Alligator mississippiensis: one gene and its partner. The protein of the gene in region 1 purifies or fractionates together with the protein of each later gene. This does not show direct contact. Links are inferred from orthologs where the notes say so. Each region holds a gene or a part of one and is shown on either strand. Other genes may lie near its edges. The genes, in order: PLA2G4A and S100A10.

Region 1 (16,350 bases):
ATCTGGAAGCCAAGCTTGTTACTTGTTGATGTAGTGGGAGCCCAGGTTCAGGCTCCCCCTGCACCAGCAATATGAGGTCTGATGCCAGATCCCATAATCACCCATCCTGCCATACATTTGGCAAGGCAGGAAGCACAATGGCTGGGATCCTGCTCAGATCCCATTGCACCTTTACTTTAACATCTCACAAACTTAATGATGCTTTGAAATTATGATGGGCGTAATGAGCTGCAGTGTATATAAAGCTGTTAAAAATAAGAAATATACTGCCATGCAAGTTGAAATGGGACTCACCAGCAGTGCTGTTGTACAGCTTTGTTGCTACATGCTATTACTTACCTGCATTTATATTGTTGCATTTTTTTTACTAATGCTGTTATTGGCTCATGATTATGGTACTTCAGTTTTCAAACCAAAAGATAATTGTAAAATTAAACAACAGTCCTAATCTATTCTGTTATCCATGATTGTTCTAGTAAAGTTTCAACAAATTAGTGCAAAAGAAAAGTTAAATATTCAAAATTTGACTTTTACATTCATTCAGGTCTGATAGTTGGAAGGTCAAATCTCATTAAGGCTCTGGGGAAGGGTACATTTAAATAATTTAACAGTGATCTATACTGAACATAAAACCCAAATATGCAGTCCGAGTTGGGTTGGTGTTTTACAACCATTATCAAAGCAAATTATTCCAGATATTCATACAGCAAAAGTTACTCAAAAGCCACCATCTTCCATAACTACTACTCTTACAGAGAATCATACTTCATAGATTTTTAGAGTCGGAAGGGACCTCAATAGATCATTAAGTCCAAACCCTTGCCCTGGGCAGCAAAGAGTGCTGGGGTCAGATGAAATCTGAAATCTTCTCTTGCCACATACAGAATTAGTCCCCTGAATTAAATAGTTCTAAACAAGAAGTATCCTCCCTAAGAAAATATTTACAGTTCTGCTAGAAGCATATATAAGTAAATTGCTTAGCAACAGCTACTGATTTTGCATATGAATACAAACATTTGCCTACCAAGTACAAAGACCTGGTTTCATCGATGCAGAATATAGACATACAATGTTATGTTTCTAACTGTCCTGGGCCTGCTACTGTGCTCACTTAAGTCAATGGAAAGACCTCATTGACTTCACATGAAGCCTCAAAGCCATACTGTTTTTTTTCTTATTTTTCTGGGGGGGTGTTTCTTTTCTATTCTTTTTTACTTTTGCAGGTTATTAAATAGACAACGTAAAAATACATTACAATTTCACAGAGCTGTTTTGACAGTTTTCACAAGCCATGTAAATGGCACGTTTTCATTGCCTAAAAATTGCTGTACTTTCTGTCCTCTGTTCTTATTTGTCTTTGCATCTAATTTGCTCACCTAATGTGCTTCTTGTGGCTTGTTTTCCACAACCAAAGTGCTTAAAGTTGGAGTGTAGGTGCAGACATTACACTTAGATCACTATGGGTTCAGACAGATGTGCAGCTCATCGCTGTAACTCAAAACACTTTGCAGGAAGCATTCTGAGTTACAATGATCCCCTGGATCAAACAGAAGTTCACTGTTAGCTCTAGGCAGGAGGGGAATCTAGTGGCTGGCTGCCAGCCTGCAGCCAGTTTCCCCTAGCAACAGCCCCTCTCCCAGTCTGTCCCTGGTTCAGAATGGGAGGAGGGAAAGAAAGGAGAGGGGGCTTGTTCTAGGGGTTTGCCAGCTAGTGCTGGAGGGTGGGATGCGTTAATTAGAGACACCTCCACCTGGGGGGAGGGGGCTCCAATACACTCACCCCACCCTCCAGCCGGGACTGAAAAAAACGCAAACCAAACTCCCTCCACTCCCTTTCCCCCCTCCCATTCTGAAAAGAGTTCAAGGCTGGGAGGCAGCACAGACAGAAGTTACAGAAGATGCTCTGTATTGAAATGTCTTCATCTGACTCCTCATGCAACAAGGGTTCAGATTTTTACCCAATCATCCATTTTTGGAGCAGTATGCAGCTGTGCATTTGTGTTTGGTCATGGCTATAAACCAGTTTCTGGCCACTTCCTTCCCTGGGATGAGCAACCGCTGCCTCTCCCCACGTTCCCAGAGCTCCTGCCCAGCCTGGCCCCTGCATGATCAGGCCAGGGGCCAAATTCCTGGTGAACCCTGATCGTGCATGGGCTAGCCCAGGCTTACCAGGAGTTTGGTGCCCAGTCCCCAGCTGGGACCTGAGCTGCGCAAGCAGCTGTCAGCACCAGGTTCTCGGCTGCCAAGAGCCCTGCCCCTCCATCTCTCCATCCCAACATAACCCTATCAGTACAGCCCCAGCTTCTTCAGCATCTGACTGAGCCACTGTCAGGGCTCTCCCAACCCTGCCTGCAGGGAGCACCATGTGCACACATGTGTGCACGTGTGCAGTACCTCCAGCTCCAGATTTCCTCATCCCCAACCCAGGTGTTTGGGTTTTTTTAAGTCCCTTATCTATTCATTTCAAGGTCTGTGAGATACAGCTATAATCAATGTTTATCAGTATTTATTGATTAAAATATTGGATCCTGCCCTGCCTAATTATAGGGGAGCAAATAATAAATTGTTAAATTCTGTACTGTGCTGCAGGACACTAAGTCACAATGTAGAACAAAGAAGTGTATCAATATTACTCTTCTCCCCATCACTGCAAAAATCTGCAAAAATGGTGTTACTCCGAACAGTATTGTTGGGGGGGGGGGAGGGGGGGGCGGGGAGATAAAGGTTGCAACTGCTTCACTCCTTTTTATTTCTGTCACTGATTTCCAAGACTGCAACAGATTACTGGAGATTGGTACAGCCAGGAAATTCATATCCTTCCTCTGAGATAAATAGCAAATGCAAGCCTTCAGGAAAATTTGAATACCACTGCCCTGAATATATGAGTGTTTTACTGAAACCACTCTGTTACCACAGCAAATTATTATAACCTTGGGCAATGGTGAACTCATTCCAGTTACTGAGCTAGGTTTTGGAATTTGTCTTCTGGGCTGGTAAAAAATAGTAAGACTGTATTAATAAGAGACAGAAAATACATAATAGGTAGAGTTCATCTCCTCCTTTGAAGGTGGGTTATGCTGCCTTATGCAAAAGTCGGTGTCCCAACCCACAGGATGCTGGAGATCTATCTCACTTAATTTCTCCTTTTTGGCTATTTTACTTGGTATAAAATAAACAATCAGAAAAAGAGAAGGGTCTCTGGCCTGAAGGGTAGAGCACTCACCTAAAAGATGAAACGCCTGGATTCCAGCCCCTATTCTAGTGAATGCATATTCATTCCATATAAAGCAAGAATAAGTGAACAAGAGAGACTGAGATCTGCCTCCTTGCCCCAAATTCCCTAGAATGCAATGGCTAGGGCATACTCCTTGCAGGTGAGATATACAGGTTCAAATCCCCTGGTGTAAAAGATAAAAATGAACTTCCAAATCGTAAATCAATTCTTTTACCTCTGAGCTATTGGATAGAAGAGGGATGTCCCCATTTCCTCTTTCCCCAGCCACAACTATCTATTGAATTTAACTTGGACTCTCAAACATTTTCAAAGACAACAGGAACTGCAACCACTCGAACCATCTGTCCCCATCCTTTTCCAATTTGCACACGCATCTCAAAATTGGAAAAACTGTGAAGTCAATTCAAGTTTATTCCTGACTGGCCATGAAACTACCCACCTGGTTATGTGCAGCTGGAAAGCTGTTATTACATTGCAACTGGACTTTCAACTCTTTGGTGCTTCTGGGGATACCATGCAGAGAGAAGGCGATGCTCTCCAGAAAGACCCACAAAGCCTCCTCCTAGGCCCATAAGGAATACTATGGGAATAAAGGGTTCCCCAGGAAGTTTAGGCCAGTAGTAGGGCCCTATTTCACCCCCAAAACAATCCCTTATTGAGAGTATGTATATGCAGAAAGAAGTATGGTCTGAGTAGAAACAGATGACTCTTCACAATCCAGCTATTTTTGAGCTGGTGACCAGGAAGGCGATTGTTCCAAGCCACCATAATGTAGAACATGCCATGGTGTTGCTCTTTTCCTGTTGAGTTCAGTTTTCGGAAGATACAGCTGACAATCAGGGCTTGTATGTACAGGCATATGTCCAAGAGAACAACATTTAATACTAACATTGGGTTGTTTAACTATATAACAACTTTAATATAGGAATAGCATAGGGAATTTTTGCATTTGACCTCCTATATTTTAAAATGTTGCATCTTCATCGCACATCAAAGAAGTCAATTATGCATAACTAATTGACTTTTGCTGATGTACACTGAAGATACAATATGCTAAAATATAGAAATATTACATATATATGATGTTAAAAGCAAACCATGATGCTGTCAATGTAATATTATATCAGTCAGTCAAAAGGCAAGTTATTTAAAAAAAAAACCCACAAAAAACCTAACTGCATTTCTCTGTTCAAACATCTGTTGAATGCCTGGTAAAAAAGCTAAAATGACACTGCAGTTGGAAGAATAGGTATAGAGGAGCCAGTATTTTCAGCTAAAATAGGGAAGTTCAGGTTGAATTTTACTATGGAAAATTGTTAGTACTAAATGGAACTCTTAAAGAAAGAAGGATGGGAATAAAAAGGAAGGTCTTTCAAGCATGCAGAAAAAGATAGCTCTGCCATACCACATGAAAGACAATTTATCAGGGAGATTTCAAAGACACTGTCAAGCACCTAATTAACCATTAACTTTCAGTATGACAGACACTCTTTCCCTATAACATATTCCCTGAAATTTCAGGTGTTACAGTTTTGTCTGAACCAGCTTATTCTCTACTAAAAACTATGCCAGTGCCAGATTTAGGCTTAAGCTACTTAAGTTACATCCTTAGGGCCTTGCAATATAAGTGGTCTCTAAATAAGAAAAAAAACTGGACATTTTCATTCTAATATGACAAAAATTCTCATATAGTAAAAGCCTTAGGCTGTCTGTCTGTCCGTCCATAATACTTTTGCCCAATTGTGTATGCGCCAATTGGCTATGCAGGCCAGGCAGGGCCAGCTGAATTAAAATGGGAGCTCTACCGCCAGTGCCACCTTGTCCTGCAGCCTCCGATGTGTGTGCTCCCCTCACCCCACCTCCACAGAGACAGAAAAAAAAAATTTGCATGAGCGCCCTGCTGCCTCTGATCGCCTCCTCCCTCCTACCCCTGGAGCACAGCAAAATCCTGGACATTTGGTCCAGGCAGGGGGAGCGGGGGCTGCAGCTGTGACAGGGCAAGCGGGGAGGGTTGCCTGTTCTCCAGTGGGGGAAAGGGGCAGGGGAACAGCGGGGGCAGCATAGGTGCCAGTGCCTGTGCTCCGAGGGGCTGAGCAGCCGCTGCCTGGGGAGTGGGGGGGAAAGGAGAGAGGGTCCCTGGCCAGGCTGCCCACAGGGCACTGCAGCCCTATCCAAGGGCAGGGGTACCACAAGCCTCTCCTCCTCTTCTCTCAGCCCGTGCCAGGGCCAGACACACTCCGCCACCACCTACAGTAATTGGAGCCACCACACTTTGGCCTGGGTAAGGCAGGCACAACTGGGGCCCTCCGGCAGGGCTCAGGGGCTGCAGGTCAGGAGTGAGGGGCACAGGGGTGGGGGACTGCGAGTTGGGAATGCAGGGTACGGGCAGTGCCAAGGGGCTGTGGGTTGGGAGTGAGGGGCACCAGCAGGGTTGAGGGGCTGTGGCTTGCCGGTGAGGGGCTACAGAATGGGCAGGGGCAGGGCCACCCTTCAGGGCCGGCCATGTAAACACTTCTGTGAAATCCATCATTTATGATGGGCAATTGGCTAGTATACACAGATATGGCTCCACAGTTATTCATATTGAGTTCATAAATGTGTACTAAAATAACAATAATGCATCTTAAAATTTAATGAAAATCCATTTTCGTGGATTTCGTGGCTTATTTTTATCGTATGGGGCCTCTTAAACTGGACATAGTTTAAGGTCTCAGCATGTCATAATCTGGAACTGAATTATGCCCAGACCCACTTTCAGACTCCACTAATTTTTTATGCTGTCACACACAAAAAGCCTGTGAGGAAGAAGGATTCACATTTCAGAGCTCAAACAGTCAAAATGACTTGTCTAAAACTTTTCAAATAAAACAACTTCCAACAGTCCTAGGAAGCCTGGAAAAGGTAATATATCACCAATACAAGCACACAAGCAACAGAAAACAGAGTGAAAAACTGTTACGTAAAATTTTCTGACCTCAATTCTAATCTGCACTTACTATTAGATGACCAGCATAAATCACCAGTGACTAAATGAGTAGACACTTTCACAGAGGCAAAAGACTTCCACTACAGAAGGTATGTTGCTCAATAGTTTTAACATCTTACTTTTCTATACATTTCACAATAGATTGCTTCATAAATGATAGTTTAAACAATTACTAAGCACAAGCAAGCCACTTAGAAATGGAATTAACAATAACCTTTGAGGGAGCAGACACTAGTGGCTGTACCCAACACAGACAGGCAAGTTGATTTTTCCCCAGGAATGAGATTTCATAATGGACAAAAGTTTATTTAACACTCTTATACCTCTCTGTTATGATTTACTGTTAGGAATGTTGCCTACTTAGGCCATTTTTGTTAAATGCATCACACAAGCACTTTCTCCTTCAGGACATATTATCAGATAACATACAGAAGACTAAACATTGTTCCAAAACTATTAACCCATGATTCCTTCACCGTGTTCAAACGTACTGTTTTACTTAAGCGCTGATGTCTGCTTTTGTAATTAAAATGCTTTTAAGTATTTTATTAATAGTTGGGTAAGTGATTAAAAAGTCCATTACCTCAGGCTGTCAAAATAGCCTATTGTTTATAATACATTTTGTGGGTCACAGGTTGCTTTATCTAGAGGCAGAAGACCTAAATTTGGCATGCAGCTTGTCCTGGTTACACATGAACAGTGCAGAACAGAAAACACAGCAAACAAAATAAAAATGGAAGATAAAATGTAGGAACAAAAAGACTGTTCCTAAATGTTTGGCAATCAGGAACAGTTCCCAGTGTTTCCACATCATCCTAATTTGGTTTGATTCTTGTGATACCTTTCCCATGACCAAAAAGCTCAGTTTTCACCGTTTCCCCAACCACTTTGGCAGTCCAGTATGTATGTGACTCGGATAATACGTACTTACTTAGGATGAGATGTGATTACCAGAAGTAAATCCACTTTTACAAATAATTATGAGATCCCCATCCCTCTTCTTACCAGAGTTAGGCACATTAAAAATGTTCCTACTGGCTCAAAACACATTCAGTGGTAAACAGCACAGGGGTAACAGTCACAGGGGAACAGTTAGAGGTAACTACAGCACAGCTGCGACTTAAGCCTCTTGTCTGCCATGGCTAGGGAGTTGGTCCCTAGCAATGATTTCCAAAGAAAGAAAAAGCAGAACCATCCCGCCACAAAAATGCAGGGGAAAAAACCCCAGACAAGAGTTCCCCTCCTACTAGCCAGAGGGCTCAGGGCATGATCACGTGAAGGCATATTAAAGTATCACCTGAAGGATTCAAACTTTTCCCACATGGTCCCAATCTGGCAGACTCCTTTCTGGATTTCAGTTCTATTTAATGCAGCAGCACAAGTCTTTTTTTAGCAGCAAGAAAAAGAAGATAGCTTGTTCCTCTTCCTTATTTCAAGTAACAGAGTAAGCAAACGTTACCTTAGTACAATACAGAATGATCTGTCCTAGCTCTTTCCCCCACACTCCCCGCTTCCAGTTTACTTTTTAAGTGCTAAAACCAGCCTCTGTTAGAAAATAGCAAAGTCCAAGTTATATTGCTTACAGTTTCAGTGCTAAATTAGATTCTTCTGGGCTTGTGCATCCCTCTTGCTTTCTAAGCAGGATCTTTTTTTTTTTTCCCCATTGCTCGACTTTCATGAATGGGTGGAGTTAAGTGTCAGCTGATATAGCTGTCTCTTAAAGTGGTAGCATTAGCCCCTAGTGCTGTTTAGCTGAATTGGAATAGGACGGTTTGAAACTTTGTTCTAGGAAAAGCTGTTTAAAGTGAAAATTCAGAGCTACATCTCAGCAACCAGGAAAAATACTAACAGTAAATAATAAGGCTTTAGTTTCCTGGTAATTAACAGGCCTACCTATTTTTGTATTGTAATTACATACGTATAGGGCGCAGCATCATGAGACGCTGACTGCGCAGCTATTACTGCACAGTCATTTAGTATTTGCATAACCAAGTATTAAATGACTGCCCAGTAACTGGTGTTACTGCACAGTTGCGTCACGTCATGGTTGCCTGGTGACATTTACTGTGCAGTAGTGTTGCATCACTGTTTGCGCCCTGTGATGCTATTGCGTAGTAATAACAAGTTACTGCACAGTGTCTTGCATAGACACAGCCATAGTGTGTGTGTGTGTATGCATATACATACAGTATATATTGTGTGTATATAAATGAAGCTCAAACACAGGAAGAGAAGTCTTTCAGAATAGAAAGAAGGGATGTTTAAGATGGTTTTTAAAATGTGTTTTCTAAATGAAGTGTGTTGATATTGCCCCACCTCTTAAGAAGAAAAATTTATAAGCAATAATGTCTGAACATTCCTAATCACAATACGGTTACTGTTCATGGCCCATCCCCATTAAAATAAGTCCTCTACAGACCTTAAGGACTAAAACAAAAACTCCATATAAATAATATTTTTAGTCAACCCTGTTGCCCCTAGGAGTTTGTCAGAGAAAAATACTTTTGCTAAGATTAATGAAATTTTAAAAAATCCCTCCTCTGACCTATGTAATTCTGTAGCGGGATATAAAAGCTATTGTAATATGACTGCAATTAAAAAGACAACTCTTGGATTCATCATCCGCATTCACTTGACAGACATATGTTATTATTCCATTTACTATAAAATGAAATGTATGCATATCTTTTCCATGTGGCCAAATTAGAGAGAGAAATAAATGTGAGACTTTGGGAGCACATCTACATGTGTATTTTAATGCACATTAGCCTATTTTAATGCACATTAAAACAGGACAAAAAACCATACTCTTTAGCTAAGCATTAAAATAGACTAATGCACATTTTTTCTAGTACCTCACAATGGAGGTATTAGATTTAACATGCATTACCTAAAGTGCATTAATAAATGTGTAGACCCGCCCTGGGAGACTTAGTCTGCAGAGAGCAAAGCCTGTTTTTAAAATATTACATTAAAATATTTTGAAATATTTCATGAAATATTACTTTAAAAATGCAGTTCTGCTTATTAAAGCTCAAGTTTTCAAGCAAATACAAAGCACCTACCCTAATTTACATATGAATATCATGACTTCTGAACCCATTCAACCTCCCATTGTTAGGTACGTGCTTAGGATTTGCATATATAGTTTACAGTAAGATCTTATTATATAAACCACAGCACCCACGCGTTGTTGCGTGCACAGAGCTCTGTGCAATAATAAAGGGACTCCATTTGGGCAGGACCTTCTATTTTTAAGTGCACCGTACCTGCTTGCAACCAGAAGGTATGTCATGGCCTCAGAGGTACTGCAAAATTGCCCAAGCAAATGGAGCTTTCTGTAAGCTTCCTAGTGTCACCCTCCAAATCATCCCCTTAACAACCCTTGTCCCAACCTATGGAAAATTAGCAGGTTGTTACATACCCAATCATCATTCAACTGCACTAGCTCCTACTGTCTAAATTATATAACTTACAGTTCCATTCAAAGTTGTGCCTTTGGGGGGGAAGAGAAGGCAGTTCTATTTTTAAATGAAATCTGCATAGGAAAACATTAGGGTTTATTTTATTTATTTATTTGTTTTGTTTGCTTTCTATTGCGCCCTCTATTGTTCATCTATGAAAATATAAAGATGGTCTTAAGATTCCTTTCTACTGTGGCATTTTTAAAGTTTTTCTTTATAATGGGGGGAAGCTCTTGTATAAGGACAATGAAAAGCATTTTTCATGCGTTGAAAAATTCCTCAGGTGCACCTACACAAGATCCTTTGCTGCACAGTACAGCAAATTACTGAGCAGTAAGCACCACCATCCACATCTGCAGATGCTTACTGCTCAGTAAATTGCTCTACTTAGGAGTTTCAGAGATTTAATAGATTTTAGGGTTGGAAGGGACCTATTAGATCATCGAGTCTGACCCCTCCTGCCAGGGGCAGGAAAGAGTGCTGGGGTCAGATGACCCCAGCCAGGTGTTTGTCCAATCTCCTCTTAAATACCTCCAAGGAAGGATACAGCACCACCTCCCTTGGAAGCATATTCCATATTTTGGCAAACCTCACTATAAAGAATTTTTTCCTGATGTTCAATCTAAATTTGCTTTTCTTCAGTTTGTGACCATTGTTTCTAGTTACTTTGATGGGTGCACTGGTAAACATCGTATCCCCTATTTCCTGGTGTCCCCTCCGGTTGAGTTTGTAGATGGCCACAAGATCACCTCTCAGCTGTCTCTTGTGGAGGCTGAAGAGATTCAGGTCCCTTAATTGGTCCTTGTAGAGTTTTTCCTGTAGGCCTTTGACCAAGCGGGTGGCCCTCCTCTGAACCCTTTCCAAGTTATCTACATCCCTCCTGAAGTGCAGCACCCAAAACTGGATGCAGTACTCCAGCTACAGCCTGACCAATGCCACACAGAGGGGACAAATAGCAAATGAACTCCCAAGTAGTAACTGCTCAGTAACAAACATGCAGATCCTGACCGGGAACAAATTTGCTATGCATCACTGGGGTATGGCCCCTCAAGCCACCAGGAGCTGGTCCCTCCATGCTCCCCAATCCCATGCCTCATCCAGCAGCTCTGGGAGCGCAGGCCAGTGCCTGCCCCGCCAGTCCTGGGTGTGCAGCTCCACCAAGGAGGCCAGGCTGGCCATGGCACTGCTGGCCCTCAGCAGCTCCAGCTCCTCCCTGGAGGAGGCCTCTGCCTAGGCAGCTAGGCACTGTGCCCCTGCACCCCAGGACACTGCCAGGAGCTGCACATCCTTGCTGCTAGCAGACACCAAGTTGGGCTGCCAGGCATGCCTGCCACACCCACCTAGTAAGCCCCACCCTCCCCAACCCTGCCCTCACCCTTGTCTCTGCCCCTGGGCCCCCTTCCTGCCCAGCCTAGACACACTCCTCTGGCCCTGTGTGTCCCTCCCCACGGCACACAGGGAGGTGGGAGACAGTGCAAAACTTTATTGAGCAGCCTGTGCCCCCTCAGCTAGGCAGGCATGGGCCTCTCATGTGGAGGAATGAGTCAAGACCAGCAGCAATTTCATCCTCAGCTGTGGGGAGCAAGGGCATGTAGTGCAGCCACAGATATCCCTCCAATTGGCAGCAGAGGTTGTGGGGCAGCACAGGCTTGCCTTCTGTACCATAAGAGCTCAGGGTCCTATGCCAGGTTCTCAGGTATACCTGGAACACCATGGCAATCAGCAGCACCAGGGTATCGTGGGTCAGGCACCCCTTGGTCAGTGCAAACAGCTCCTTGTGACATGCTTGGGACACTCTCAGCAGAGGTACACTCAGGGCACAGAGCCAGTACAGGGGGGTCTGGCCCCAGGAGGCCTCTCCAGAGAGGGGAGGGTGAGGGTTCCAGCAACTCCATGGCCCAGTCAATCAGGAGCCCTCACCCTCCAAACACAAGAGCTGCAGCACCAGAGAGAGGCTGGCCTGCAGGAGAAGGGTGGGAGAGTGGCTGTGGAACCATGGTAGCAGGTGCTGCCAGAAGCTTGGCCTGTTCTGGCTTGGAAATTGGGCAGGGAAGACAGCCTGCCTACAGCCAGCACCCAAAGGCCCACCTGTCCCTGCAGAGCAGTAGGGGCAGGGAGCTTGGCTGATGGCCACCTGTGCCAGGGCCTGTGAAGCCGACTTACTAGGTCTGTGCACCTGTGCATGCAGCCTGGCACATGGAGAACGTTATAGGTGATGCATAGGGGGGCATGGGGCATGTCTCCCCCCCCCCCCCGAGACTGGCCCTCACCAGCTGGGGAGTGGGGGCATTGGCTGGTCCCGTTCCCCACCCCAAGAATGTGGAGGCACCAGGAGAAGCACTGGCAGCACTTCTGCTGGGTACTGGACACTGTTCTGGCCCTGGCTGTCACCTTTGTGCCACCCACTGACACCAGGGCAAGCAGTGCCACCCACCTTAATGTGACCCACTGCCCTGCCTCTGGCCCTAGCCTCACCTGCCCTCTGGCAGCCACCCACCACCCAGCAGCAGGGACAGTGGTGCCTGGGCTGAAGTGCAGTGGTGGCTCCATCAGCCAGGGGCTCCTGCCCCAAAGCTCCTGCCAGCCATCCCCCTGACCTGCTACTTGCCTTGGCTCCATGTGACCATTGCCTGCAATGGGGCCAGGACCATGAATAGGCCCTACCCAGTTTGTTCCCCACCCAGCTCTGCACTCACCAAGCTGGATGGGAAACAGGGTCCCCAGACCCTGCCAGCAAGAAGCTCCCAGCACCAGCTCCATGACCACAGGGTTGGTACTGGGAGACCCTTATCAACCTGCACCAGCTTCACAACTGTGGGGCTGGTGCTGGGAGATAAGGGTCTCTCAGCATTGGCTCCAGAGTCATGGAGCTGGCACTGGGAGATAAGGGTCTCCCAGCTCTCCGCTCCCCAGTCATGACAGTGGAGATCCTTATCAGGGAACAAGCTGGGAAGGATAAGGATCTCCCAGCCCCTGCTCCCTGATCACCATCTTGAAGCAGGGGGCTTGAAGCTCCCTGCCACAGGCAACTGGTGCCACCTCAGTTGAGCAGGGGAGCAGGGAGGGGGGCATGTGCAAAATATTTAGGGTTCAGCTCACATAATATAACTAGGGTGCTCAACCTCCAGTCCATGAGCCAAATACAGCGTATGGAGCCTTGGAATCTGACCCATGAGACTCCCCATGCATCGGTAAATATGGTGGCAGGGAGCAGTGGCAGTTAATACTGACACCATTCCCTGCTACCAAAACCTCAAGTCGCAGGTCAGAGTGCGCCATACCCCCTCCCCTTGCAAGGCCATATCTGGTCCAAGCTAAGCCCACTTCCCTCCATGAGGTTGATTTGAGGCCAGGCTGTGCCTCCTTCTCCCTGAAGAGCTGAACCTCTACCCCATGCCCTCTACCTCTGTGCAGCTAGTTAGGGTGTGGGCCATACACCCTTCTTCCCACCACCACAGGCCATGTCTTCTTCCCTCTGCCTGGCCAGGTTGGAGCGGGGCCATGCCCCTCCCCCTGCACAGCTACGCCCCCTCCCTTCTGCCCATTGCGGCCCAGCCATGCCCTCTCCCCTGCCAGGCTGGTTTGGAGCAGGGTCATTCTCCCTTTTCCCCACCATGAGGCCAGGACAAGTCCCTTTCCTCCATATGGTTGAATCAGGATCAAGCTGTGCCCCACTCTCCTCCATGCTGTAAGAATGGGGCCGTAGCACCCACCCCAAGAACTGGATTAAGTCCACCATCCAGATCCAGCCCACAGAGGGACTGGGCACTGGCCATCCAGCTCACTGGCCAAAAAGGATGAGTACTAATGCTACAGAAGATTACAGTGAAGAAGATAAAGTATGCTTTCTTTTCAAGGATCTTACAATATTATTTGGCAAATTTTAAAGAATCTGTGCCTATGATATTTTGACTGAAAGAGCTCAGTTTGATAAAAAATTTTCTGAAGATTTTTCTGTTAGATATGGTACACAATCTATATGTAAACAACTTTGTTTGCCCTTTGGAAAAGTATTGAACAATAAATATTCTCTTGACATCTTTTTATTTACATCACAGGTCACTGGTTTTCTGCATACTCCACTTAACTCCTTCAAAACTGCTACTAGAGTTAAAGAGTAACAAATTTGCATATTTTTCCCCCTGCTTGGATGCATTTCAGTTAGAATGAGTTTTTAGTGGATGAAGTCTTTTCACTGCATTGATCGACTCAATGCAGTGAATTTCATTCTCTTTTTCAAAGCAGTGCCCACACACTCTTTGGCATTCAGGGCATTTTTACACATGTAAGTGCCACAGCACTGGGCCCTTTGTAAAGGGCCCAACACTGAGGTGCTTGTAGTTATATAAGTAGCAAAGTCATGTCATGGTGGCGGTGCGTTTTTGAACTAAAACACCTCAAGGTCCTTCATTTCAAAAGCGCACTGCCGCCATTTTCTGTGCACTAACATGCATTTCATCACTTATACAACTGTACATAAACACGGCACAGTGCAGTTCACCTAAGCTCCCATGCAGAGCAGACTCAGTTAATCAGTCTGCTCTGAAGTGGTGGATCTTTGGCGTATCACAGGGGAAAAAAGTATGTGTATAAATGCCCATAGCTTGGTTTTAAATTGCTTTTTAAAGCATCACCTCTTAATGGATATGAATTATGTTTCAAGACAGCATTTAAATACTCACTTTAAAAGAATTCTCTGGTTTTTAGATTGTTAAAAAATTGTGAGTTTTTGCATAGGCACATACATATTAAAAATGGAAATGCTTTATAAGAAGATCTTTCAAGCTGTATTGCTGCTCAGTGGCCAAGGAGAGTATACAGCAGACAGGTTTCTCCCTGGAATGGCTGCCAGTTAAGTTGAATTAGCCACTATTAATTTACAGAGGTACACAGCATTGTCCCTGGAAAAAGTTTTAACTCATTTTATGTTGTATACATCCTAGGTTCCTGAAGTGGAACAGTGCACTAAGATCCCAGAACAAAAGGTTTCTGTTGGAAGAAAAGCTATATCTTCTATATTTACTCAAATACAAAATGAGATAATTTTCCCATCATCCTGGAAGAAAAAAAAGTCCCTCATCTTACATTCACATGCAAAGAAACCTCATTGTTTACACTATCCATCATTAAAGTGCTGCCAAAATCAATACTTACTTAGTAATAAAAACCAACTATGAAATTGATTAAATGCAGCCAATACTGAGAATGACTATAAAACACATAGTCCACATTGAGCAAACATGGTGATAGAAACCTTTTCTGGTTTTTGGGACCTTTTAACAAGACAAACAGCTGTTCTCCCAGGAGGGAACAAGCACTGAGCCTGGAAGTACTGCAATACCGAGCCAGCAGAGCGGCAACATATGCAGCATGTGTGATCATCCAGCACTCCCCACATGCTGCTTGTGGGTCATTGGATCTGACCCACAGGCTATAGTTTGACACTGAAAATGGTGTCCTGATCTAAAGTATACCTTATTCACTGGGATTGGGATTACAGAGACTTGGTGGGATAATTTAAATGACTGGAGCGATGTCATGAATTTCATAGATTTAATAGATTTTAGGGTCGGAAGGGACCTATTAGATCATTGAGTCCGACCCCCTGCCCTGGGCAGGAAAGAGTACTGGGGTCAGATGACCCCAGCCAGGTGTTTTTCCAATAATGGACAAACTGGACAATACTGGACTGGATGGGTATAACTTGTCCAGAAAGGACAGATGGAGAAAAAGAAGAGGAGATGTTGAAGAAGATGTATGCATGTTTTGGGGTGTAGTACTACGTGAGAGATAGGCCAGTTGAAAGTTTCTGCTTAAAGATCATAGGGGGAACAGCAGGGGAGATGTCCCACTGTACATCTGTTATAAGCCACGAAACATGAGGAAAAAGGTGGATGAGACCTTATTTAAACAGCTAGCAAAAGTTTCTAAATTAAAAGACCTGGTTCTCGTGGGGGATTTTGATGATCATATCATCTACTGGAAAGGAAGCACCAGCTGTGCACAGGCAGCTGAGCAAATTCTTGGAATGTGTCAGGGACCACTTTTTGGTATGAATGGTAGAAGATCTTCTTGACTCGCTGCTCACAAACAGAAGGAATTGGTTGAGAATGTGAGGGTGGAATGTAACTTGGCCAACAATGATCATGAAATGATAGAGTTCAAGATCTGGAGGAAGGGATGGAGGGAGGAAGGAAGGAAAGCAGCATTGGACTTCAAAAAAAAAAAAAAACCTCAGGGAAAAAGCTAGCACAGAAACAAATTATCCTTACTAACCCTACAAAAAGTGGAAACATGTTCATATTATTAGGTAGGAGTATGAGAGTATCGCATAAACATGTAGCAAGAAAAATCAGGATGCTCAAGACATGATTTGAGATGCAACTGGCAAGGGATATATAAATCAATAAAAAGGGATTCTACAAATATATCATAAGTAAGAGGCAGATCAAAGATCAAACTTGCAGGACAATTATAAAGACAATGGAGATAGACTGTTCTCTGTAGCTGTAGGGGACAAAACTGAGGAGCAATGGCCTAAAACTTCAGCAGAGGAAATTTAGGGCACTTTTACACATGCTCTGGGGTGGAAGGGGGGTGCTGGCACTTTAATTAAAATGGCTCTGAGAGTCACTCTAATTAAAGTGCCACCACATCTCATGTACC
Region 2 (16,004 bases), on another chromosome or scaffold:
TGGTGCCTCCAGGGTGAAAGAATCCATTGCACCGTGAAACCGTCTCAGCTCAGAGATCAAAGCAAAATCAGAGCCACGGGACGCGAAGCCAGAACAAGGATGTTCTTAGCATCAGGAGAATGCAATGTACCAGCGCCACCGACAGCTGGCCTGAGCGGTGCCTCGCATGGGGGTGGGATATAACACATGTGCGTTGGGGAGGGGCATGATCATCGCTTCTTAGAGTCAGGGAGCTTTGCTTTGCATCTACCCTGGTCCTCCTTGCTGCAGAGAAAGCCAAAGCTTTCTTGTCCTAAGGGGACGTGGAGAATGCTGGATCACCATCCTCCATCTAAAACCCCAGTACTGGGGCCCCAGGGGCACTCTGAACAAAAAGGGGGTTGTTGTAAGCCAACGGAAAAGAGAACCGATCTCTTCTTTCATGCCTAAATGCTGGAGCAAATAATGCGTCTCCTTGTCACATCTGTCCAGGATTCCTGACACGACGGCATTTGGGAGGGGGTTTTGGGGCAGGGGAAAGCCCTGATCACTCCTGAGGAACCGGTCACAGCCGAGTGACAGCAGCGTGTGGGTTGGTCTCTGAGTCAGCAGGGCTCAGAGCTAGCACAGAGGAGGAATTGCACCCCGCCACTCCCAGATGCTTCTGGTTAGAGGCACTGATTGTTGCCCAAAACAGCAGCGTGGTGTAAACCCTCTGCGAGCCCCATTCAGAGGCGAACGTCATATAACATGGTGAGCAGAGACACGCCTAACGGTCCCACCCAAGCACGGCGCAGCCAGGAATCCACCCGGGTGTGCAAATGTCTGACACACTTGATGGGCCCAAAGCAGCCCCCAAGCGGGGAATTCTGGCCTGCATGTGCATCACCAACAAAAAGACCGTATTTACCCACATACCACATGCATCTTCCTCCCCAGATTCATAGGAAGTGAGGGTTGGAAGGGACCTCAGGAGGTCATCTAGTCACCCTCCCAATCCCCCCCATTCCAAATTTGGGGTGGGTGTCTTTGGGAGGGAAGCTGATTTTTTGCCCAGCAGCATTTCTATTCAGGCAGCAATGAGGGAGTCAGTTGACTTCATGGCTCATTTGAATCTATTGGATCACACTAAAATGCAGCCACCTCTAGGGTGGAACAGGGCAGCTGTTTATTAGCTTGTGGCAACACACTAGCAAGACGTTAGAGAGCAGCCTTTCTTGCATGGACCTAACTTCTGTGTCTGGCAGCAGTTTGAGACAAGAAGTTGATGACAGCTGCTGTCGTGGGGAGATATTTGCCACGAACTCTGCTTGGCACTGGGGAGGTCTCACTCTGCTTTGCGATAGCTTGGCCCAGCCCAGCTACAGCTCTCCCTGGTCTCCAGCCCGGTTGCTGAGGGAAACGGCCCCCATTGCCCTGCCCTCTGCACTGAGACAGAAGGGACAATGGGACGCAGCCGGGCGGGGGGCAGAAAACCCAGCAGAAAGGGGAAGAAGCAGGGCAGTTTGCTTCTCCACTCTGCACCTGTGATCAGGGGCCTGCGACTGCTTGCAAAAATCCCATCTCCTGCCCCTGCATGCACTGCAGCTGAAAATGAGGTGCCCGCAGCAGGCTCTCTAGGCAAATGGCTGGCAAAGTTGTGGATGTCTCTCTCCCCAGCACGCGCCCTTCAGCCCCGGAGCCACCTCGTTGGGGGTGGAACAGGTCCCTGCCGGGCTCCACTTGCTAGGGCGCAGGGATGTTTTACAACACCAGGCCTTCATTGCAGCAATTATCTCCCGTGCATACATGCATGCGTGCCTTGAGGGGGGTTGTTCCTTTATGAAAGCATGGATCACTTGAGAGATAAGAGTGGGCAGGTAGCCAGCAGGTTACCGGGATGCCCAGATCCTCCTTGTTTTCCTGGCTCTGGGTGCTCAAGACCTACCGAATGTCAGCCTGTGGCTCCCTGCTGCTGAGAGCAGGCTATGTGAAACGAGCTGGCTGGGTCTCAGCCCCCTTCAGAATCGGGGTCTTTTTTCCCCCTTGCACAACTGCTTTCACTGGGGAGGGGGGAACTGCAGCCCCAGTCAGCAGACTGCTTCCTGCTAAAATACCATATTTATCTGGTACATATGAGGGTCCACCGACCAAGCTCTCATTCCTTCAGGACTTTGCTGAAGACCTTGCCATTTGGCGACTACTAGTCTTCACAGCCCTGCCGAGTGCTTTCAGCTCTTTCAAAATCCTAGATCTATCCCCAGAGTCCAGTCTTCAGCAGCTAGCGTTCCAGCTTTTGGCTGAGCAGCCAAGAGCTGCTGCCAGTATGGCTGTGAAAGGGTTAGAGTTGGACTTCTCCACGAGTCTAGGATTGCCCCTCGTCTCAAAGCTGAGGGTTGAGAGAAGTCCTGAGATGTGGCCGCTGTCTCTTGCATCGAGGGGGCATCCTCTGGGGTGTGGAGTAGGGCGGGCATGCGGGAGCTCACTAGGGAGAAGGTGCTGCCAGCACCGTGGAAGTTAAAATGCTCGTGTGAGGGCTGAGCTGCCAGCTCCCTCTCTGGGGAGCCAGGGACTCGGTCCAAGGCCTCCGCCCCCCTTGGCAGAGTCAGCGCCTGATGGGAAACAGATGGGCAACCCTGTCTGCAGATGCTCTGCCGACCGCGGGCAGCTGGCGGGGCCCAAGGGCATGTACGGCGTGCCCCGCCCTGGCGTGCGGCCCCGGGGGACAGCAGGGCGGGGTGTGGCGAGTGGGGAAAGCCCGCGGCGGCCAAGTGTCAGAGGCTGGACAGGCTCGGGCCAGGCGCTGACCCCAGCTGCTCTGATGCTAGTGAAGACAGGGATTAAACAGCGACAGTCCCCAAGCACACAGCTCCTCCCCGTACCTCGCCCGCCCCCGGCCGGACGCTAACTGGTTCCAGTTGTGCGGCCCGGAGCGGTGCCATCTTTGGAGGACCCAAGAGTCTAAAAATCTGGATCCCAAGCACCCCGGGGCCGGGGCGGGCTTCCGGCCTCTCCGATGTCACAGCAGGACAAACAGGCTGGGAGGCAGTCAGCGCACGGGGCGCGGACCGCGTCGTTCGCTCTGTCCGTGCCTCGCTTGTTTGCATGTCGGTCGGCCGCGTGCCCGAATATCGACGTGGGTTGGGCTCAGCTCCGAGCAGAGACAGGCCCATTCCTGGGGGTGAGGGCACTAAACCATCTTGGATCCAGTCAGCCATCTTGGGCCAGTCAGGGGCCGCCATCTTAGATCCAGTCAGCCATCTTGGGCCAGTCAGGGGCCGCCATCTTGGGCCCAGTCAGCCATCTTGGGCCAGTCAGGGGCCGCCATCTTGGGCCAGTCAGGGGCCGCCATCTTGGGCCTAGTCAGCCATCTTGGGCCAGTCAAGGGGGTGCCATCTTGGGCCTAGTCAGCCATCTTGGGCCAGTCAGGGGGTGCCATCTTGGATCCAGTCAGCCATCTTGGGCCAGTCAAGGGCCTCCATCTTGGCCCCAGTCAGCCATCTGAGACCTAGTGGGTCCAGTCAGCCCTCTTGGATCCAGTCAAAGGCTGTCACCTTGGATCCAATCAGCCATCTTAGACCAAGTCAGGGACTACCATACTGGGCCCAGTCACAGGTTGTCACCTTGGACCTCATTAGCCCAGTCAGAGATTACCACGCACCAGCCATCTTAGATGTGGTCAGACGCTGCCATCTTGGGCATATCCTCTCCGCCTCCAGCCATTGCCATTCCTTTGCAAAGGCGGATGCGAGCCCACGTGGCCCTTCACGCCGCACTCCCCAGAGGACTGGCTTCTTTCCAGGGCTGGCTCCAGCATGGCGCCCCTCCGTTGCTCTGGCCCGTGCCATCCAACTGCCCTTCCCTCCCGGAGTCTCCTCCATGGTTCGTGTGAAGGACCGGGGCTGAGCGCATGGCATCTGACCGCGCCCAAGATGGCAGCCCTCGGCCATATCCAAGCTCCCTCCTCCCCCGTCCCAGACGCCCGCCCCACCCACGACCACCCGTTCAGCCTTCTGCCGGGGTGCCGCGGGGACCCCACGCCCCGGACGTCTCGGGCCCCGCGGCCTCTCAGCCGGGCGGGATCGTTGCACACGCTCCAGGTCGGGTGGGCTGGGCAGCGCGTCCGGCTGCAAACCCCTGCCCGCCCCGACTCTGCCCGTGCCAGCCTCACCAGCCAAAGGCAAACCCCGGGACGCCACCCCTGGGGGCAGCCTGCTCCCTCTCTCCCCATGGGGCCACCCCGATGTGTCGCCTGGGGCTGCCCGCTTCTCTCTGGCCCCCTAAGAGCATTAAACACAGCGTACAGCTCCGGGCGCGGCTGGGCACCGCCAGAGACCCCATCCTCCGTAGCTGGGGGACCCTCCGGCTTGTTTGCTGACATGGGCGCTATGGGGAGAGCAAACAGGGCTGGGCTGCTCCTGGCTGGGCTCCCCGGTCGCCCCCGCCAGCGTGAGCGAGGATTTTCCAGCCGGGGCCTGGGAGGGATGAGTCAGCTACGCCAGAAGCGTCTCCTGGACCGGGTGGAGGAGGGGAGCTTTCTCCCTGACACTCACTGCCAGGGCATGGGGGGCACCGGCCAGCCTGGGAGGGGAAATGGAGACCCCTTCCCTACCTAGGCACTTGCAAATGTGTACCTCCTCCCCCACAATGTCCTCTGTGGGATTCGAACCCTGGGCACTTGCAGCAGCACGGATCTCTGCCCCCTTCAGCTGAAGGCACAGCTCCCCCTGCAGACGGCGGTCGCAGGCACTTACCCCGCAGCACCCCGGCCAGCGGGGAGGAAGGGCAACCACCAGGATTAGGTGCAAGTCGCTAAGAAGCTCCATGCCTCAGTTTCCCCATCTGCCACGAGCATAAATGTGGTAAAGATCGTGTGGTTCTCACAGGACCGGAGGGGAGGGGTAGATAAAAGCCCGTGGGAGAAAGGGGCACATTACTAGGGGACGGTTTCTCTGGATTGCCACAGGTCTGCTCCGTGCAAGATGCTGCACAAACCCAGAGCCATCCACTGTTGTGGCGGTAGGGCACGCCAGAGGCCGGGAGCCCCCCAAAAGGACGTATCAGAGGATATTAGTCTGCATGGTTAGCCTGGGCAGCGGATGGCAGAGCTAGGGAAGGAACCCAGGAGTCCTGGCCCAGCGATGGAAACTCTCGTGCACCCACAATCGATACAGAAAAAACAGAGGAGCAAAGCAGCTGCTGGGAACAGAGGCGGCCGCACCCGGGCATGGATGGAGAGAGGCCATCTCTGCAGCACCAATCGGGCCCGGATGTCGCCCACGGCCCAACTCCTTGCAGAGCTTCTCGGTGCCTCGTGGGCTGGTGCGGTGCCCTACGCCATGCCGGCTCCAACGCAGGCTCCGATCATCCCCAACTCCGGGCACCGGGGCTCTGAGCGGACACGGGATCCCGCCAAGCCCAGGCTGCAGCCACTGAGAGGACTCATGGCAGCTACAGCAGGGGGCCAGGATGCCTGGGTCCCATTCCCTCAGGAGGAGCAGGGCGAGAGAGAGCTCCCTGGGGTGGGAGCCACAGATTGTGGCAGCTGCGCTTCTATTTATATCCATGCCTCAGTTTCCCCGTGATATATAAGGGCCTGCTCTGGGGATCAAGCCCAGCCAAGCTGCCCCCAAGGGGGGCGTTATCCCAGCTCCCGGCACGGCGCTCCAGCAACCTAGTTCTTACCCAGTCCCTGGGTCAGGGATCAGCTCGACAGGCAGAGATCAGGGCAGTGGCCCTGCCACCAATGCCGCAGCAGTCTCAGACCAGCGGCGAACCAGCCCGGGCAACGCCCTTGCTCAGAGCCCACCACCAGCTGCTCCTGGCACCCACAGCGGCTGGGCTACCCGCTCCAGGAGCAAACAAATCACAGGGCAGGGCGGTGCCCGGAGCACCCTGGCAGCCTGCAGCTCCCGCACGCGCATGGCAGAGCCCGGGGTGCCACGCCCCAGCACGGCACTGCCCCGGCCCACGCCGCAGGCCACGACCTGCTGGGGCAGGGGAAGCCCCCGCGGGCGCAGAGGGGGGGCATCACTATGCCCTGCAGCTAATAGGTGGCAGTGCCCCCCCCAGTTCACAAATGCAGCAGCTGCCCCACGCCCCGCTAGGAAGTGCTTCCAGCTCCCCAAGTCTGAGCCAGGAGCGCGGCAGGTCGGTGCCCCCGTGCGGGGAGTAGCACGGGGCAGTGCCCCCATCTCCGACCTCGGGGCAGCCCCCTGCGCTGGGTGGCATTAACCCCTGTCATGCCGGGCACTGGGGCTAGTGTTAACCCCCTCCACGCCGGGCATTGCCCCCTCCCCAGCGAGCCCCGCAGGGACTCACCGGGCGGGCGGGCGGGCGAGCGGAGCGGAGCGGTGCGGGTCTGTCGGGTCGGAGCGAGCGGCGCTGGCGAGTGCGGGCGGGCGGCGGCGGGGCCGGGGGCGGCTCTACCCGGGCGGGGCGGGGCGGGGCGGGATCAAACCCCGCCCGGATCGGGATCGGGGCCACCCCCGGCCCCGGCCCGGGGATCGCGCCCTGCGCAGGCTGCGCTGATTTTTAGGCGCGCTGACAAGGGCTCAGGCAGCGGGGCCAAAGCAAGGAGGCACGGGCCTCTTCGCGCCCCCACGGCTCTCTCATCCCTGCCAGCCCGGTACGGGGAGACACGGACGGAGCAGCGCGCTTCCCGCGAGCGCACACCTGCCCTGTTTGCACACACACAATCTGCCGCGATGGGCAGCTGCGCACGTGATTCCGCCCTGGCCTTTTCTTGCTCGGGAGCCTTCCCGCGCCGCTGGCGCCCGCACCGGCTGGCCGGAGCCCAGGGCCGGCACAAGGGAGCAACCCCCGGGTCCCCGGCGGGGCGGACAGAGAACAGACCCTTTCTGTGCGGTCTCTGCCCATGCCGCCCTGGGCTGCATGATGCTGCTTGCTGCGGGAGCCTGCATTTCAGCCTCCTTTGAACCCCGGCCGAGCTGGCGCTGTGACTTGCCTCTGCCGTCAGCAGCAACCTCTGGCCCCTCTGGAGAAAAGAAGGGAACTATTGAGGCTGGAAAGGCCTCGGGGCTGGCTGCTGACCCCAGCATGCCACATCCAGCCCCCGGGCTGTTCCCACAGGGCTCTGGCGAGCTGCCTGCATCCAAGGGCTTGTAGGCATGAAGGCATTTGGAAATCCCGCAGGGCTGACGGGAAGGGCGCTTGGGAAGCTGTTCCCAGCTGGCTCTGCCCAGGGTGTAGCAGGAGCAGCTCGGACATCAGGCCCCTGCCCCAGCACCTGGCCTGGCTGGGTCCCGAGCCCCAGGGGTGAAGGATCCCAAGCAGCCTGCAGTAACTGGCTCCAGATAGGGGTCCTTCTCTTGGCTGCCATAAGGGGCTACATCCATTCACTTTCCTCTGCGACTGTGGGAGCCAGGAAGTTTCTTCTGTAAAGCTGCAACAGCTGAGATCTTCCCCTGATCATGGGACTCCAGGAGCTGCAGCTTTGGGGGACAAATGTGGAAAGCTTCCCCCAGACCAGGCCATACCACACTCGCTGCCAGTTCCTCTGTGCTGCACAGGTCTGTGGTAAGAGGAAAGGGCAGTGCTGGGACATGGGTCTGGCCTGCTCGGAGAGCCAGGAGCAGAGCCTGTTTGTCCAGGCCCATCAGCCCCTGATGCAGTGTGCTCTGGGGGTGGGACTTTGACTGTCTGTCCATCCCTCCCTCCCTCCCTCCCTCCCCATATAGCCTCTCTCTCTGTATATCCATCCCCATATATCCTATGAATCTATCTACCCATCCCCATACATCTCATCTATCTATTCCCATATAGCCCATCACTCTTTCTGTTCATCCCCACATAACTCCTCTATGTATCTACACATCCATCCATCCCCACACTTTCTTTCTCTCCCCACACACCCTCTCTATCTAGCTATCCATCCATCCCCATATGTTTCATCCATCTATTTCCACATATCCCATCCCTCTATCCATCCTACCCAGCCCCCCACATACTCCCTCTGTCTGTCTGTCCATCCATCCCCACATACCTCTCTGTCTGTCTGCCTGCCTGTGTCTCCCCATGCACCCTCTCCCTCTATTCATGTTCAAACCCAGCACACCTCAGGGTGCTGCACCAAGACATCAGCCCCTACAGTAGGTACTGGGGTATGAGAGAGGCTGGGCTCTGCCCCACGCACATCCAAACCTGCTCATTGCTATTACTGGCTTCAGCTACTTTCAGCCACTCCAGTGGCTTTCCTGGCCTGCTGGCTCGGCTCAGCGCAGGCACAGTCCTTCCCCCCTGCCCCCAGCTGCTGACCCAGGCACCTGCCTTGGCATGGAGAGGCAGTGCCTGCCAATGTGGGGTCCCCCCAGGTCTGCAGCCTTCATGCCCTTTGCTGGACTCTGTTCCTGGCTCCCTCTACAGCTCATCCTTCTGGGCCAAGCCTAGCTGGGGAGGGCTAGGGGGGGACCAAGGGAGTCATCCTCTCCAGCAGCCTCTCCCCAAACCACCCTCCCACTGACCTCAGCAGGACCTTGGGACAGCTGGATGCATCATGGGCCTCCTACCAGCTCCTAATTAGATAACAAGGCTCATTAGGGCAATTAGCTGTGGGTGCCCTGGAGCATCTGTGGTTGCCCTTGCAGGGAATCTAGTGCCAAGCCTGACGCAGCTGCAGGGGTGATATTAGCTGTGCTAATTTCATGCATAATTAAAAGATGGAAGGAGCGAGCCTGAGATTCCCTGGTTCCATCCCAGGATGTGGGGACCTGGAGCAAGCCATTCATGGGCGAGTGAGGCAGACCCCGGTGTCCCAGGGCTTCTGTGATGTTGCGGGGGCTGGAAGCATGGTGGCACCTACAGCCCTGAGGAGCCCCAATGTGCTTAGTGCTGCACACACACAATGTTGGGGGTAGTCCATGCAACTGGGGGTCACAGCCTAGCCCCTGTGAGCCTGGGGCTGCTGGATCCTTGCTCTCAGGGGACCGGGGTCCTAGCCCTGGCTGCACCATGAATTCAGGAGCCGGCCTGGGGTACAGCCCTTCCCTGCCTGAGTTTCCCCATCTTGAAGCCAGGCCTGCACTGGTTTGAAGTGGGGAGCCCTGCCTAAGAGCTAGCAGGGGGGCTCGCACTGTCTCCTGGCACCACCTGCTGTTCATCTCTGGAAGGACAATTGGATCCTGCCACCACCCCACCCAGCCACCCCCATCGCCACTGCAGGGCCTGCCCCTCCGGCCCTGTGGATACCCCTGGGCAGTGCAGGTAGTGGGGCAAGAGGTGGGTGCAGGGGTAACAGCAATGAGTCAGGATGGAGCAGCAGGAAGGCTGAGTGGGCAGGAGTGAGGGGCACCAGCAGAGCTGGGAGTGAGCAAGGGGCTGCTAAGGGGGGTTGGGTTAGTGACTGCTCTGAGCACCTCACTGCTGTATCAAGCAGTGACTCATGGTCCCTTCTCAGGCACGCACATGTATTTGCATGTGTGTGTGAGATGGCACACAGGCTTACCCTGCACACAGGCCCTAACCGGATTTCCAGGCCAGCTCAGCCCCTGCTGCTCCCCAGACAAGGGAGACCAAAGGGGCTAGACCCTGACTCAGGACCCAGCCAGCAGCAGCTCCCAGCGGGGGGTGTGTGTGTGTGTTGGGGGGGCATGTATCTCACTGCCAGACACCTGGTCTCAGGGCAGCGAAGGCACTGGGGCAGGGCAGGTCTCAAGCCTTGCATCCAGGAGAGACTGCTGTCATCTGGGCCCTGGGCAACAGGAGCAGGGAACAGAAGGGGCCAGGACATCAGTGTGAGCTGGATGAGATCATGGCCACCGTCACAGGCTCTGCCCAGTACACGCCTGGTTTGATCGATCAGCAGCCAGAGCTGTGTCAGGCCTGTGGGAGCCAGCGATGAGCAGACAGAAATGGGGGAAGAATTTGAGACCCAAGGAAAGCATTTTGCTTGGGTTTGCAGTTTATTTCTCATATATTTATGGCCACAAGCACCATGTCCCTAGCAACATGCTGGGTTCTCCCTTGGGGGCAGGTCTGGCTAGCCCCAGAGTTATCCCACAGTCCTCGGGTGCTCCGGATGGATGCAGAAGTCAGGACTGGGCCTGTGTTGTGCCCATGTGGGGCCATGTCCACGAGTCACGTCTATAGGTGGTTGGGGTGCTGGCCCCTGCCCCAGCTCGTGCACCACAGGGTGCAGCCACCCTGGGCAGCCACTGGATGGCAGCACACACATCCCCCTGTCCCCTGGGCTAGGGGTAAGCGGGGGAGCCCTGGGGGTGCCCAGCAGGTAGGAGTTGTGCCCTACTGTGCCCCCTCACGCTCCACTCCCCTGGCACTGGGGGCAGGTGGGTGTCGTGGCAGGCAGGCGTGGGCATCTCCCCCTACTTGGTACTGGAAAGGGGGGAGAGGTGGGGGCACTGCGGGCTGAACCTGTGAGCGATCCCAGGACTCTGGGCCCTCATCCCCTGGCAGTTTCTTAGCCTGGAGACCCTGGGCTGGGCAGCCCCTAGCCAGCACTGCCAAGAGCCAGGGTCCACCCATGCCCCCGTTTTAATGGCCAGCCCTGGCTGCACACAGCAATGCATCTCTCTGGCATCTCCCAGTGAAATCAGCAGCTGGGACAAGTGCCCCTGCACCCAGGGATCACTGATAGTGCCCAGCTGTTGCACGTCTGCCCAGTAAGGGTGGCAACGAGCCCCCCTGGCAGCTGGTGCCCGGGTCCCGGCGGGGCGGATACACTTGCAGGGGAATGTGGGCAGAGGTATCCCCATGGTTCCTCTTCTCTGCAGGGTGCCTTGGCTGCCTCCCGGCGATGACATGTGTGGCAATGAGGGCCGTGAGCAGGCATGCCAGCATCCCCAGCAGGATGAGTCCCTTGGCTTGGCAGTAGGAGAGCGACGTGGCCTGAATCGGGGCTGGGAGGGTGCCTGGAGAAACACATAGGATGGGGGTCAGGGCATGAGGGTGAAGAAGGTCAGTGCCTTGAGAGCACTGAGCCCGCATGCCAAGCACAACTATAGGGACCAAAGCTGCCCTCCTCCCTCAGCCCTTACATCCTCCTCCTTCCCCAAATGTACCATTTGAGCTTCCGCCCTGCCCAGGCTCTGGGGCACAGGGAGAAGGGGTCAGAGGGACAAGAAGGCTCCTGGAGGGTCCCGTGTCCGTGCCCTGGTCCTCATGGATCACATGCAGCTGAAAGCGCCACGTGGTGGGGACGAAGCTGCCGACCTCAAGGGATGTGGCGGTGTAGAGCCCTGTGTCGCTGGTCTTCAGGCTGCTAAGGATCACTGCCCCACTCCCATCGGCACAGCTCAGGCGCCCAGCATAGCATGGAGCCACCGTATACAACAGGAAGGTCTCCTCCAGTGTCACATTGGCCAGGGAGACACACTGGTCCCCCACCCACCACATGACCGCGTTGCCTCGTCTCTCCATGGGGATGTCGAGGGGGAAGAGGACTGATTCCCCCACAATCCCTGTCAGCTCCATGAGGGCATCACTCACTGCCGAGGCTCCTGCAGGAGAAAAGTGGGGGAAAGGGGTCTTCAGGGGCAGACAGGACATCCCAAGAAAGCTGCTCCCCACTTCTCAGGGGGGTTCAGTCCTTCACAACAGGAGCCCCATTTTCCATACACCTCCCCCCCAGAGCCCAGGGGCTGCTGGTCAGGGGCTCCACTTTGGACCCACCTCTGATGTGGTCAGTGCAATGACAAGGCCTCTTGGCCCTCACAATTTCCCCCTACCATCAAGGGGCCCAATGACTCTTTGTCCCATTGCGGCAGCGGTGGAGGTGGCACAGGCACCATGGAGGTGGCACAGGCAGCTCTGGGGCCCATGCCAGGTCCAGCCTTGCCTTGAAGTAAATTCAAGCTGCTTCAGAGCTTTCTGCCATGGCAGCGCTGAGCTCCTCTGCCCTGTGGATACAGAGAACAATCTCCATCCTCTTTAGGGCTGCCTTGTTTGTATACGACTGGTCTGCCGTGGTCCAGGAGACCCCTTATAGGAGCTCTGTTTTGACCAGAGGACAAATCTCCAAACTGTGGGCTCCACTGAGGTCTCATGCTGGTCTCTGATGGTTAGAGGGTTGTAGGCATCATGGCTGGGGGCAGTAACCCTGCTGCCCCTGGGCCTTCTGGAGAGCCCTACAAAAGTCTCCATTAGACCTGCTGGATCCTGAGCCTCAGTAGCTTCCCCCATCCAACCACGCATCAGGTGGAAACTCTCTCAGATACTGGCTTGAATAGTCCCCTCTCCACCTCCAGCCATATTGCCTTGGTTTTTCAAGCATGAGACCCCAAAATAAAGATCACTGGGAAGCTCCGTGATGGGCTACTCAGCACCTGGAAGCACTGGGATGAAGGGCCCTCTCCTCCAGCCCCTACCCCAGGCAGGGACATCCCAGTCTGTAGCACCCAGAGGGGTGTTTGCCCTAGGGCAGAGATCTCACCCTCTCTCCAGGGGCTGATTTCTAACCCAAACTTCATGCCCACCCTCCATCTTCCCCGGTGCCATTTCAGCACCCTGGCCTCTGCAGACATAGCAAATAATCCCCGTCCTCTTTATGGCTGTATCCACAAATCCACAAATGCCAACTCATCTCGACCCTATCTGCCAGTCCCTATCGGCCATGCTATCTAGCTCTAACCATTGGGAGTGATGGCCACTTACCTCCAGGCAGCAAAAGCAGGAGGAGGGAGAGGAGGGAAGGAAGAGCAACCCGCTTCATTCTGGCAGCACTGGACTGAGTCTGGTGGAGAAGTGCCTGGGGTTATAAGGGAACCTGGCCTGTCATCAACTCTGCAAATTCCCCTGGCTGATGTGACTCAGATGATGAGCTAACATGGCCAAAACGTGTCCTTGTGCATGGCAGAAGTGCCACGGGCTTCACAGCAGTGAGAGGGGCCAAGCTAGACCTGGGGGTGGGCAGCAGCAGAGCTGGGGGTACTGGCCCCATCACCAGACCCACCCTGAGAGCACTGTGCCAGGGCAGCACAGGGGAGGGCAGCAGCTAGCCAGGGGAGCCCTGTGCTGGCCCAGAGCTGTATGTCCATGAGCAGTGAATCACTGCAACTTCCCTCTGTCACCACCATCAGCAGGGTCCAGTGGCAGGGTGAGATCAATGCCAGGAGATGAAGTAGCATCTGACAGCCCCTGCCCCCTCCCTCCACTCCTCAGTATTTCACCATCCACTAAAATGCAGCTGTCTCTGGAGTGGAACAGTTGCTCAATAGATTAAGGGATGGGCGGCTGAAGGGACCCCAGGGAAACCACAAGGGAATTGACCTAATCATCTTACAAGGTCAGTGTCTGAGCTTTGCAGAGCAGAGCAGAGCCCCAGCTACACCCCAGGGGCAGCAAGAGACTTAAGAAGATTGATCTCTAGCTTAATAGGGGTCTGTCCTGGATCTGGGGCATTTTAACTTGGCAATTTGTGACAGGGAGTGGAGGGCTTCCTGGACAAGCCTGCAGGGAGGAATGGCAAAGGGGCTGGGAGGCAGGAGCAGAACGCAGAAGAGTCTGGATGGATCGGAGACCTGCCTGGAGCGCACAGGGAGATGGGTCAACGCAAAGTGCTATGCCCAGGGGAAAAATCCCCTACTGAGAAGCATCTCACTCAGCCATTGGTGCTGTCCCAAAAGCAACTAAGCTAATTTGGGACAGGGATATTGTGTGTTAGATGCAGGAGGTGATAGTACCACTGTGCTTGGCGCTGGCAAGGTCTCAGCTAGGGTATGGCATGCAGCTCTGGGCTTCATGTTTGGAGGACTATGGAGGAGCTATAGGACGCTATGGAAGAGCATGGGATCCCATGATCTAGAGGGATCCTATGCAAACCCAGGGAAGAGCGTTCTGTGCACAGTCCGGTACTGGTGAGGCCTCTGCTGAAGGACTGCTCCCATTGGGGCACTGCCCTTCAAAAAAAGATGCAGAGAAATTGGAGAGCAAAGCAATCTGAGGCCAGGAGACAAGAACCACTCAGTAATAGCTCCTGAGACCAGCTTTCTAGTGGGGAAAAGATCAGACGGGTTTCTGAGTACTAAATGCCCTGCCGCACATCTGAGAAGAAGGCAGATACAGCAGATATAGCTCCATACGGGTTAGAATAGTGGTTCTCCACCTTTTCATCCTCATTTCGGAAAGTGCCAGCTCTTTGCTTTCTACTCATTTCTTGGCTGCGGAAAAATACTAGGGCATTTCTTCTGGGGCAAAGAACCCAACCCGCCCACAGCGAGACACTGTAGCGCTGTGGGTTCCCATTGGAAATCTCTGGGTTTCTCTTGTGAATTGTGTGCAGATCCATTGAAGGATGCAAAAGGGTTAATAGGTTTGTCTGGGATGGTTTGGACAGGGCTGATCCTGACTCAGGCCAGGGGTTGGACTAGGTATGATCTCTGGAGGTCCCTTCCAGCCCCTCTTTTCTGTGATTCTGTGAAATAATAAGACCATTCAAAAGGACTGAGAGGTTGGCAGAAGGGATGGGTAAGCGATACTGATGTTCTGCTGGAGATGGGGTGTGCCTGTCCTCTTTTATTTCCCCAGGAGCTCACTCAGGATGGTCCTGGGTGTTGTGCTGCACCCACATCGTTCCCATGGCACACACAATGCGTCGGGTGGGGTACATCCCATTCAACTGTCAACTTTGTTGATACAGTCTTCATGGCTGGAGATGACTCAGGACAGATCACCAAGGCAAACACCCAGTTCTCCGATGCTGACTGCTACAAGGCACCGAAGGAGGATGCTGACGACTGGTGTGTCGGCATCCTCGAGTTTCTCAGGAAATCTCCAAAACGACCATTTCAGGAGCATTTTGCAAGCTCCTCCTGGGACACATTGCACAAATCAACTGCGGTATTCACACCCAGAACAATTTGACCTTCAACCAACAGCTCTTCCTCCAAACCATGGGCACTGCCCTGGGCATAGCTGGCCTCTCAATAGGCCATTTTCACTGTACGTAGGAGATGTCTTCATCCTTCAGATCTAACCCCTGGGTTTGGGCTCTATCTCTACCATGGCTTCAGCAGCTACCCCGTCCATCTAGCTGTTCCATGGAATAGTCTTATACTTCCTTCAACTCTCTAAATCCCATGATCCACTTCTCACATGACACCCTACAATTAGCTGTACCTAACAGCCTCAGGGATCGCCACACTTAGAATCACACAATCCTACAAAATGAGGGCTGGAAGGGACCTCAGGAAGTCACATTGGACACTTGTACACGTTATGCATTGTGTAGATCTAGTCCAACCCCCTGCTCAAAGCAGGGCCAGCCCCAACGACATCATTCCAGCCAGGGCTTTGTCTACCCAGGTCTTAAAAAGCTCCAAGGATGGGGACTCCACTGCCAGTTCCAGTGCTTTACTACCCTCCTCCACTTCCCTCCATGAAACCAGGAACCACCCCGAACACGCCAAGAAAGCTATAATCTGCAGCCAGTCCCTGAGATACCCCCATATCTGCTCTGAGAACACTGATGATGTCCCCTTCAACCATTGAAAACTGTCACTGCTGGCAGACAATGCACCCCAAAAACAGACCATAACTTCAGAAGAGTCACCCAAATAACCTACAGAAACCTACTACAATGTAAAAAGGAGCTCCCCCCACATTGCATCCCCCATGAGAAACAAGAAGATTTCATAGTTTCATAGATGTTAGCATCGGAAGGGACCTACTAGATCATCGAGTCTGACCCCCCGTCCTGGGCAGGAATGAGTGCTGTGGTCAGATGACCCCAGCCAGGTGTCTGTCCAACCTCCTTTTAAACCCCTCCAAGGAAGGGGACAGCACCACCTCCCTTCGAAGTGTATTCCATATTTTGGCAACCCTCACTGAAAATTTTTTTTCCTGATGTCCAGTCTGAATTTGCTCTTCCAGTTTGTGGCCGTTATTTCTAGTTACCCCGACAGGTGCCCTGGTAAACATCGTATCCCCTATTTCCTGCTGTCCCCCCTGATGAGTTTGTAGGCGGCCACAAGATCACCTCTCAGCCGCCTCTTGTGGAGGCTGAAGAGGTTCAGGTCTCCCAATCGGTCCACGTAGGGTTTTTTCTGTAGGCCTTTAACCAGATGAATGGCCCT

Evidence for each region.
Region 2: the proteins of PLA2G4A (region 1) and S100A10 purify together in Homo sapiens (affinity purification with western blotting; 3 studies listed by BioGRID). This does not show direct contact. The link is inferred for Alligator mississippiensis from reciprocal best matches to the Homo sapiens genes PLA2G4A and S100A10.

The regions. Positions count from the first base shown.
Region 1 is NC_081828.1:56,659,144-56,675,493, reverse strand, and holds the start of PLA2G4A (cytosolic phospholipase A2), read right to left. Parts: upstream 7,909-16,350; 5' UTR 7,804-7,908; intron 1-7,803. UniProt on the Homo sapiens protein: Has primarily calcium-dependent phospholipase and lysophospholipase activities, with a major role in membrane lipid remodeling and biosynthesis of lipid mediators of the inflammatory response.
Region 2 is NC_081838.1:19,410,771-19,426,774, reverse strand, and holds the start of S100A10 (protein S100-A10), read right to left. Parts: upstream 6,379-16,004; 5' UTR 6,280-6,378; intron 5,752-6,279; exon of another isoform or gene 5,644-5,751; intron 1-5,643. UniProt on the Homo sapiens protein: Because S100A10 induces the dimerization of ANXA2/p36, it may function as a regulator of protein phosphorylation in that the ANXA2 monomer is the preferred target (in vitro) of tyrosine-specific kinase.